Linked DNA regions of Schizosaccharomyces pombe. Changing the gene in region 2 together with the main gene of any one other region gives a genetic interaction. Each region holds a gene or a part of one and is shown on either strand. Other genes may lie near its edges. The genes, in order: rdl1, jmj1 and sec28.

Region 1 (3,426 bases), 520 kb from region 2:
ATCTAACGATTATTGAAGCAGCAAAGCGCATAGCAACCGTTTCGTTAGAAAGTAAGCTTCAATTTAACGAAAGCGACTACCTCCATCAGTTTAAGCCTGACATTATGGAGCCTGTATCTTTATGGATCAATGGAGCCTCGTTTCAAGAAATATGCATTGTCTCCAAGCTTTATGAAGGTTCAATTGTTCGAACGTTCAGGAGATTAGATGAGTTGTTAAAACAACTTGAACATGCTGCTATTGTATTAGGCAATAATGAATTGAAAGAGAAGAGTGTGTTGACTGAACAAAAGTTGCATCGTGATATCATATTTTCGGCCTCTCTATACCTCTAAATTTGTAGCGAAAGTTTGATATTGACAATGATCGTTTGGCCTATCAAATATGATTTCGATTTTGTGCAATATTCTTTTTATATATGTTAGTTTTAATTCTTTATTTAGAAGTGTTATCTACAGATTTTTATTGAATGTATAAAAAACAATATCATTAAATAAATCCTTAATAAGTCATCTACATATTTTTTAAACTTTGATATTTTGGGGTAGTATACTCATGATGGACTGTTGAGCGTAGATGAGTGATACAGACTTGGTGATACATGCAATTTAGATGAAACAGAGACAGGTGTACCATTGTAGAAATCAATAGTCAAATATTCGTGAGTAAACGAACCTTTAAGGAGTAAAAAAAGTTGTGAGCAACCTAGTAAATCTTTACGACTTTGGTTGCAATGTACTAAACATTTATTATGCTGTTGATCTTCTAGAATATATGAATGGTCAAGACAAAATGGCCAGCTGTTTCCCAGCGCTGGTTTGGAAAGGTGGAGTTGCTTTATGTACACAAGAGAAGTAGATAAGTATACTGCTAATCTGAATTTTCTGGTAAGGATTCGGCATTTTCTTCCTAAAGTCATCATGAATGCATGTGCAAAAGATATATTGCCCTGAGCCATTAACAAACCAATGGGATTAGAAAAGGAATCTATACACAATGCATATGCTTGATCTTCGGAGCTTTTGAGATTGCTTTCCAACTCATCAACTGCATCCTTCAATCCCTGAGCATCGAATGATCTAACCAACATAGTTTTTTCAAGACATGGAAGAGGGAGTGCAGCCGGATTGAAAGTACCTAAAGTATCAATCCACATAATTCTATCAAACCTAGAGTAATAACTTTTTAGAATCCAGTAAAGCATCAAGTTTGCAGAATTTCCACTAAATTGAGTAACCTGATTCATAATGTCAGAAAATATATAAGCTGCTTTAAGAATTTGCTTGGTATGCTTTAAACTTTCGATAGAATTGTTTTTTCCAACGATATTGATGATCAATGAAATTGATTTTTGCAATCATCCCCTGGTTATGCTAATGGCATTCTAAAAGAGATAAACACCCAAATGCGTTGAAGGAAAAGATACGTACAATCGTCAAAAATTTCCGGAATGTTCAACAAGTATTTAACTAATCATGAGTGTGTGTTGAATCTTATCTCATGTTTTTTGTTGAACTATCTACATGGATTATATTTAATTAGGGTATGGATTAAAGAAGCAGAAAGGTCGTCAACATTCGAGTACAGTATATAGCCACACTGGTGTGGATTTGTATATATTGAGAATAACCCTTTAAGAATAAAAAGAAAAAATAGAAAAGCATCAACTAACTGTTTTTAAATGCTACATATGCGAATTTAATTCTCTCTAATAATGCCATGTATTACAAGTAACCTCATGTATCGATTGATTTAATCATTATCGTTACAAAATTTTTATAAATTATATAATAAAAAAAAGGAATATTAACAATACATTATTTACCGAAGAACCCTATAAATTTGAACAGCACTGACAACTGTAAGAGGTAAACAACCATTTTTTCAAACGTTCAATGAGTGTGACACTCCAAAACAAATGAATCCCCAAATCCCAAATATGGGAGAGCTCTATACGATTGACTGCTGTTTTTTCCCCGAAAATTTCTTCAAGGTCAAAAATTAAATAGCACTAAATAGAAGAAAAAAACCCACCAAAGAAAATTATGAACTAATTTTGACCACACCTGTAATTCAATGTTTATGCAAAACCTTCATAAGAAAACCCAATACAACTTTTAAATTTTTGTTCCAATAGAGTTGCTTTTCAAAATGCTGCCTTTAAATAATAACAATTGTTTCATCAAATTTGCTCCTTCAAGACATAAGTGATTATTTTTATCGCACTAATCACTTGCATTTTTAGCTATAGTGTTTACCAAATATCCTTTGTACTACGGGACCTATCCATTAAATATAATTGTCCAACTTTACACGTAAGCATTGAAATCCGAAGGCAAGGATGCAGGAATCTGCATATTAGAGTAATGCGGAGCATTGCAACGGAGACAATTACTGCGGCGACGAAAATTAGTAAATCCACACTCACATAACCAATCGCCTTGATCAGTAGTAACGGAAGGACGTGATACTTCTTTAAAGCGTCCATGATCATCGAACCTAGATACATTACCACCATTTTGTCCCCCAAAATTTTGACCATGATTAGCCGTTACTGAATTTATAGAAAGTTGTGAGTAAGGATACACCGAATGATTAGGAGGACTTGTACTCATAACAGGGGGGATGTGAGAATATGAATTATGACTATACGAACCATTCACCGGCCCAGATGCATGATCTGCTACGACTGCAGCTGTAGCACGGCTAGCCCCACAGCGTAAGCAGCAAACATTTTTTGCGAAATTGTGATATCCACAACCCTCAGAGCCACATTTCCAATCACCAGCACGAAAAGGGACATTACCACCGAATGAGCGTGAAGAATGATGATGATTTACAGCATTATTGCCATTCTGATGCTGAAGATCACTTTGCATGGTATTTTCGTTAGAATGATGGACAGATCCACCATAGTTGGCAATAAAGTGAGAGGAGCCGTTGCCGTATGAATTTCCATAAGGGAAATCAGGTGAAAAAGTATTGCTACCAGTAGCAGCTGAAACATGAGTAGGACCAGGAAATGAGCATCGGAAACAAGACGTTCGACGTTGAAAATTGCTGAAACCGCACATTGGGCAATTCCAATCCCCAGGGCGTGGGCGATTCTTACTAGAAGGAAAAGGAATTAGAATGTCTGAAGCTTTATCTAAAACCTTTGTACTACTGGGAATAATTTCCAGCATCCGATCTCCTAAGCAATATCCATTAAAGGCAAGAGCATCGGCAGCATCTTCATGACTAGCAAATAGCACAAAACCTGTACCCGTAGATTTGTAAGGTTCGGGAGTCTTTAAAGTCCATAAAGCTACGGGATGAACCCCATGATTAGTAAACCAACTTTCCAACTCGAGCTGTGTTACATCGTTGGTCAAACCTGCAACGTGTACAATTTTTGACCGTTCTGCATAAAAGCTTCGTGCGTCT
Region 2 (3,759 bases):
CTGGCTCTAAAGAAAATCAACATTTTAACCTGAACTATCAATAGTGATTTTTTTAAATAATTTTTTTTAGTATATTAAAGTAAACACCAGTGTCTTAAGAGTTTTTACAGCATACATCAATTATAAATTTATAACTTAAGCAACATCTCTCGGATATTGTTTACTAAAGTAATTTTTTTAATTTTTATTTTACATATCTAAATCTATCTATATTACTGGTAAACTAATTATATGGATGGTATTTGTCTGGGGAAACCATTGCATGAGAATGATACAAAGACGTAAGCAAAATTGAAGAAAGCAGACGCAGAATGAAAAAAACATCATTTTAAAAGGAGTTTAGATGAGTAGTACTATTCTTTAAAATCACCGAGAGATTTAAAGATCGTGACAATCGATGAAGGAGGAGAACCAGAATCGAAGGTGCTGCCGGGCTCATCATTTAGTAAAATATTTTTTAAAATTGAATACTCCCATGATAATGGAGGAAGAAACTCAGGTTGTATGGGCCATTTTGAGAAGTATTCAGAACTATGTAATATTGCATCCCTTCGTTTGAGCTGATGTTTGATCATACCCCAAAATCGACGCCAACACCAACCGTAGTTTGCTTCCACCACTTCTGTAACAACCTGAGAAAATCTGTCCTTTGTTACGATTCCATCCTCCAGCAAATCCTTGAGAGACTCTGCGGAAACTTCATACTGCTCTTTTAATGCGGTGTACATTTGTAAAATGCAAGATGCATTACACCAATTATGGTTGATAGAGAGTGTAGTTCCAATATTTAAAACCTGATGATACCAACCACTTGGAACAAACACTGTTTGTCCAGGATATTGGAAGAGAATTTTTATCAAATGTCGATGATTTACAAGTGGACCTCTAAATAAATCATCTTTTGTGATCCATGAAGGTAATTGCTGGTCATCATAAAGGGAGGCAATCGTTTGAAGGTCTTTGGGATCGATAAAAAGCCAGCATTTCACACCGCAGAGATTAACAGAGAAGGAGTGGCTAGCATAGACATCGGTGTGTAGGCCAGTAGTCGTTAAATGACTACCTAAATATGCGAAACGGAAATCATCGGATTCACAATCAATCACGTATGCATTTAACCAGTCGTCGGCGAAAATGTCCGGAGTACTGTAAGGAAAATCGGCAGGGTCTAGATGTCGAAACAAGTGCATATCCTTGGCATATAAGGATTTCAAAGCCTGATTACTTGGAGCCTGCCGGCATTGTAGTTGGACCTGTTCATCGCGAAGTTCATGAAGTGCACTCTTCAAGGGAACTGTTTCACGACGTTGAGATCCATAACGATCTTTTTCATTGCAATAAGCCAATGGTACAGGAATCGTTCCGTAATTTTCTTCTAAGTATTCATAGTTTGGCGATAACAATAACGAATCCAAAAACACATTTTTATCCTCATTATTCACAATCCTTTCTGCATATGACCTAATGAAATTCTTTATATCATTGTCGTTTAGTAGTGAATTCCCACTAGTGTTGTCTCTAGAAGTACAAGGTTTGTCAGGTAGAATGTAACTATGCAGGATATTAGGATCACCCTTACTAGTTATCCACGTAGTATTTGCTTTCCATTGAGCAGTAAGCTTCGGTCCAATAAGTACGGGAACGCAAGGTTTTAGATACTGCTCAAGGAATACCTGGTATGGGCATGAATCTATGAACTCGATTTTCGGTAAGTCGTCAAACTCATGAGCAGTGGGACGATACACCATCGTGATGAACTTGATGATTCATTTAGTGGAGAAAGTGTATATGTAATTTACGTAACAAAATGTTGTTTTTTCGCTAGTAAAATGACCAGCGGGTGTAGCTATACGATGACGATGATAAATTGACTGAGGTTACGGAAGGATAAATGGATGATGGATCACGACATCACGAAGTTGGTGTTAAGTAAAAAAAAAAAAAAAAAAAAGAAGGGATAAGAAGAATGGAAAATGCTATTTACCGTCTGACCTCAATTTTCATATGAAAATAGCATCAGATAGTCAGATAAGGTGAGTACTCCTTACGCTACAGAGAGTGAGTATATTTATTGGAGTGTGTATTTGTTTGCCAAAAGTTTATGAAAACTACCAAATAATAAAATTAATTTATTTAACTGAATGCAAGAATAAAAATAAAAATAAAGCAGAAATCGGATATCTATCATTTAAACTCAGACATTCAGGAAACGAGCGAGATAATATGCCCGTACCAAGGTTTACAAGTTAAATAAGAATCACAGAGGTAAACATTAGATTATACACTGAATGTGAACGCAAAGATTTATCTATACTTTCGAGGAAGTAAGGATGATAATTATTATCTTTTTTTTTTTTTTTTTTTAAAAAGCCATACTACAAGTGTAGACATCATCAACTCGGTCCAAGTTTTACTGTTGCAAAATCTATTTTTATAAAATGAGAATTTATAGTAATATTGAAAATAAAAAAAAAAATAAAAACAAAGAATGGAAATAAAGCAAAAAAAAAAATTTCTAATGAAATAGAATGGAGATAAAAAAACCATTATTGAAGAAATTTCATAAAATTTTTTTTTCTACTGGTAACCCGTGTTTACATTCGCTAAACATACACTTTGTAAATGGAATCCCCAACAAGCTTCATACATAATTATGACAATAACTGACTTCGTCATTTCTCGCTACGCACTTCGAACTGTAACCAAGTTCACCACCAAAATGCTAGTGATGTATGACGCAGATGGTTAGTATTGGAAGATCTGTAAATAGTGATATCAGCAGGCTGAAATCGATCATGCCAATTTGTTAACAGAGGGAACTTAGAGATCAAAGTGAAGAAAGTTGTCGTACGTGGTTTAATTCAAGAGTGGCGATCAAATAAAGAAAACGCACATTGCATGATGAAGAAATTCGTCAGTGCTTTGCAACAGTTCATAAATGGAGAAAGGTTTTTTTATTTATAAATAGGGATATTCCTCCATCGATATTCGCAAAATAAATTCGAATCTTGAAAAGTAAATATTATTCTACTTACAATACTACAAATATTTTCATAAAATGTCTTACCAACAACGTGCAAACGATTCTATGAACTCTGCTAAGCAATACAGCTCAAGCGCTGGTGCTGTCCACAACAGTGATGAGCCCTTCTCTTCTAGTGGTGCCCCTCAAAATCGCAACTTTGACACCTCTTACACATCTGAAATTCCCAGCAATTCTAGTCGTGCTGCTAACGACATGGGAACAGACATTGGATCCGGGGATCCTTATGCTGGAATGACTAGCGACACTAAGAAGGGATTCAATAGTGTCGAGTCACGTAAGAAGGAACAATCAGATGTCCGTGGAGGTGATACCTCTTACTCGAGAAGACACGATGATTCTTCTTACTCTTCTAACAAGTACTCTACAGGAGGCAATGACAGTTATTCTTCCGGCGGACGCAACGAGGATTACTCTACCAGCGGAGGTAGTTACACCACCGACCCTAGTCGTACAGATGATACTGCATCTTACGGCCAAAGCCAATACAACCAAAGTCGTAAAACCACCCAAGGTGGTGACTACGGTGAAGATTACAGTCAAAGTTACCCCACTGATACCTATGGCAGTCGCCAAAAAGCAACTCCTTCTGACACAGTCGGTGGTGGTGCCTATGATTATTCAAGCTCTGGCTCCCATACCCATGGTGGTTCTCATGGTACTGAGCATCGTGGAGGCTCCTATGGCAACGACAATACTGCTAACAAGACCAGAGG
Region 3 (3,593 bases), on a different chromosome or scaffold from region 2:
CGTTTGCTAGTTAAAGAGTTTTGATACATGTTGGGGTTAAGCAAATGTTGGCATATATAGTTGTAATCTGTCATGGTGCCACTGCCGTTTGAGCAAGTTCATCTTCGATTCTTAAAGTCTTATCGTTTAATATCGGTTTTCTTGCTTTTTCCAAATTCCAAACACCTGTGTATTTCAAAACATCTTTCTTTTCTATTTGTAAAGGCAAACTTGTTGCTTGTCATTTTGTGGCACTGCAGGTTTTGAGTAATTTTGGACAAGAACCACCTATTCTAGATTTTTAAAAACAAATATATAGGTGGATAGTCATAATAGTTCATTTTTAATTAATGAATGTATTTGATAAATAAAAGTAAACGGTTTAAAGACGCTCCTGTTGTGACGGCGTTCATTTAAATGTTTCATTTCGAGATATATTCGGGTGCGTTTTCTTGTTATTATGTCTACATGAGTCTTCTTCTGCATGCGGTTAAGTATTTCTAATTAATTAGTTTAATACCTTTACTTCTGGTAAACTTGAAATTTATCGAGGCAATACTGGATTGACTTGCTTTGCCAGACAGATCAACGAGCCATTACTTGAGTGAAGCAATAGTCAATGAATAAATACTAAAAATGCAAACATTTGAAGTTTATTAATGGATTGAAGATTCTAAACAATATTATTATTGGATTAAGCCGTACTCAAAAATTGAGTTGAAAAAGTATCAAATTCTTGCGCCTTTTCATTTAAATGATCGTTCAACTTCAGTGTAGAAGAATTTGTAAAAGATGAAAGTATATTCTTGGCTTGAGAAGGAGCATCAGGGCCTAAATCCGTGATTGCAGTAGTCATATTTGATAGTGCCTCCTCGTAATTTGGTTGAGAATCGAGGGCAGTTTTCAGCGAGCTCAAAGCCTCTTCAGGTCTCAACAAGCATATGTCTGCACACGCCATACCAGTTAAAGTCATTGGATTGCTATCAGTTCCGTTTAACTCTTCAAAAACATAAAATGCATCATTATAGGATTCGACGCCTCCACTAACTATTTTAATCCAAGATTGTGCCAGCTGTAGTACAATTTCTTCATCAGCCCAATCCAAAGCCTGTTTCAATGTCTGTTCAGCAGCTTCAATTTTGTGCTCTCGTAAATGAATGTATACTTGAAGCGCCACCGCCTCCAAGTTCTCTACTGACTTCTTTAATAAATCCATTGCATCATCAAAAGAACCATTTTTAATTTGAAAAATAGCTCCTAATGTTTGTACCACACTGTCTGAATTGCCATGCTGGTCAATAATTAACTCCATGTTCCCCTCCCCAGCCAGCGCCAGAATAGCAGCTGATCCAGGCGTTTTTTGAGTTAAAATACTTTGGATTGATTCTAAACTTTCACCTAAAGCTAATTTTGCCCTTGCCATATAAATTTCGGTCAATTCAAGACCTTTTTCAGACATGGATGTCGTGTCAATTTCAAATAACTTTGTATAGTTTCCACTATAAAAGTATTGACGAACAAAATACAGTTCTATCAAATATTAGTTGTTATTTAATTCCCAACTCATCTCTTACCATTAGATAAACTAGCCTCCCATGAAAACATGTTAAAAGTTTTAATTATGTTGGGCGATGTGTGGAGTAGAGAGTATGTGGGTTAATGGTGTTTGTACATGAGTAACCCTACAACAAAATGTAAAGCAAACGAACTTTCCATCAAGACTTGTAATTTTTCTAATTGCTCCGAAGCCTAATATAATATATTTCGCAGTCAGCAAGTAAAATGTTCGATAATTGAGATCCTTTTTCTACAGGTCGTTGTTGTATTCAAGAATCACCAGCAAACTACATTTTGGTCCACTGGCTTTTATATACAATGCAACAAATCTAGTGTTATAAATCAATACATGTTAACAAAGCGAACATTATAATTTATTAGAATAACAAATGGCGAGCTTTAAAAAAAAAGAAAAAAAAAAATTGTAAAACCTAGACTACCTTTGAAAGTTTGAGTTTAACTCAAGGTAACTAATCAATATATATATATATATATACTTCCTTTATTCCTCACATATTGTACTAAACCCAAAAAAAAAAAGGTTGTGGTCTTTTTTATGGCAGTATCAAAGTACAGAGTAAAACACTCTACAACTCCAATGTCTATCTAAATTCTAAAAATTAAATCCAAATCAAAAAGGCCAAAACAAACTTAAAAGTTGGAAGGGTATAAAACAGAGTCTGCATAAGCAAACGTATCTTTGATGGAGCGAGGAGAAACGAATCGAGACAGAATCATTCCGCTACCAGCTTTATCGTTAGTACCACTGGCACGAGCACCACCAAAAGGTTGTTCACCAACAACAGCACCAGTACACTTATCATTGATATAGAAGTTACCAGCGGCATTACGGAGACGGTCAGTCAACTTTCTGACAACAACACGGTCCTGAGCGAAGATGGATCCGGTTAAACCATAAGGAGTGGTAGTATCGATGAGATCGCAAACAGCGTCTAAGTTGTCATCCTCATATACATAAACAGACAGTACGGGGCCGAACAATTCGTTAACGAATATATCATGTTTAGGGTTTTTAGAAAGTAAAACGGTAGGTTCAACAAAGAAACCTTCGGAATCATCAGCTTTACCGCCAGCCAAAACTTCAATTTCAGAATCGGAAGCAGCACTCTCAAGAACCTTCTTCAGTTTGTTAAAGCTTGCTTGATGGATAACAGGGCCCACAAAATTAGCAAAATCAGTTAAAGGAGCACCGACCTTAAGAGACTTGACCTGTTTGGTAAGCTCATCACGGAAACCATTTTCCCAAGCATACTTAGAAACGTAAAGACGAGAAAGGGCAGAGCACTTTTGGCCTTGATATTCGAAAGCAGCACGAACAGCATTAACAACGGCACTCTTAATTTCAGCGGAAGAATGTACAAGATGAAAGTTCTTACCACCAGTCTCACCGACGATTTTGGGGTAAGTGCGGTATTTTCCGTTGGCAACATTCTCGCCAATTGTTCCCCAAAGGCTACGAAAGACGGCTGTGCTACCAGTAAAATGAAGACCAGCAAACTCAGGGTGGTTGAAACAAACCTTGGAGACTTCAACAGCGTCACCAGGGATAAATTGAAGTGCTCCAGCGGGAAGACCAGCTTCACGGAAGATTTGGTAAACAATGTAGCTAGAAAGGACTGCATGGTCAGAAGGCTTCATTAAAACGACGTTGCCCATGAGAAGGGGGGCAGCAGCCAAGTTACCAGCAATAGCTGTAAAGTTGAAAGGAGTAATGGCATAAACGAAACCTTCCAAAGGACGATATTCCATACGGTTCCAGACACCAGGAGTGTTTTCGGGAGGTTGGCTGGCATATAATTCACTAGCATACTTGGTATTGAAGCGAAGGAAGTCAATGATCTCCATTCCAGCGTCAATTTCAGCTTGCCAGATGTTCTTACCCTGGCCAATCATTGTAGCAGCCATGAGCTTGTAACGGTACTTGGTGCTTATCAAATGAGCAGCCTTCAAGAAAATGGCAGAACGGTCAGCAAAAGGTAAGGATTCCCAGACCTTCTTTCCACGAAGTGCTGCCTCAATGGCATCTTCAACGTGCT

What was found.
Region 1: mutations in jmj1 (region 2) and rdl1 together harm fitness more than expected from each alone (negative genetic interaction), as found in Schizosaccharomyces pombe (one large-scale study listed by BioGRID).
Region 3: mutations in jmj1 (region 2) and sec28 together harm fitness less than expected from each alone (positive genetic interaction), as found in Schizosaccharomyces pombe (one large-scale study listed by BioGRID).

What each region holds. Positions count from the first base shown.
Region 1 is NC_003424.3:2,007,596-2,011,021, forward strand, and holds rdl1 (RAD51D-like protein 1), read right to left. Parts: upstream 1,553-3,426; 5' UTR 1,247-1,552; coding exon 554-1,246; 3' UTR 501-553; downstream 1-500. Other genes in the region: exosome RNA helicase subunit Mtl1, read left to right, coding at 1-335; RNA-binding protein involved in heterochromatin assembly Dri1, read right to left, coding at 2,310-3,426. UniProt on the Schizosaccharomyces pombe protein: Involved in homologous recombination where it functions at an early stage of recombination in a pre-recombinogenic complex with rlp1 and sws1. Also has a role at a later stage of recombination in association with the rhp55-rhp57 complex.
Region 2 is NC_003424.3:2,523,906-2,527,664, reverse strand, and holds jmj1 (histone demethylase Jmj1), read right to left. Parts: upstream 1,862-3,759; 5' UTR 1,749-1,861; coding exon 354-1,748; 3' UTR 155-353; downstream 1-154. Other genes in the region: protein Ddr48, read left to right, coding at 3,059-3,759.
Region 3 is NC_003423.3:2,325,497-2,329,089, reverse strand, and holds sec28 (coatomer epsilon subunit protein), read right to left. Parts: upstream 1,617-3,593; 5' UTR 1,585-1,616; coding exon 1,554-1,584; exon of another isoform or gene 1,510-1,553; coding exon 674-1,509; 3' UTR 589-673; downstream 1-588. Other genes in the region: put2 (delta-1-pyrroline-5-carboxylate dehydrogenase), read right to left, coding at 2,188-3,593. UniProt on the Schizosaccharomyces pombe protein: The coatomer is a cytosolic protein complex that binds to dilysine motifs and reversibly associates with Golgi non-clathrin-coated vesicles, which further mediate biosynthetic protein transport from the ER, via the Golgi up to the trans Golgi network.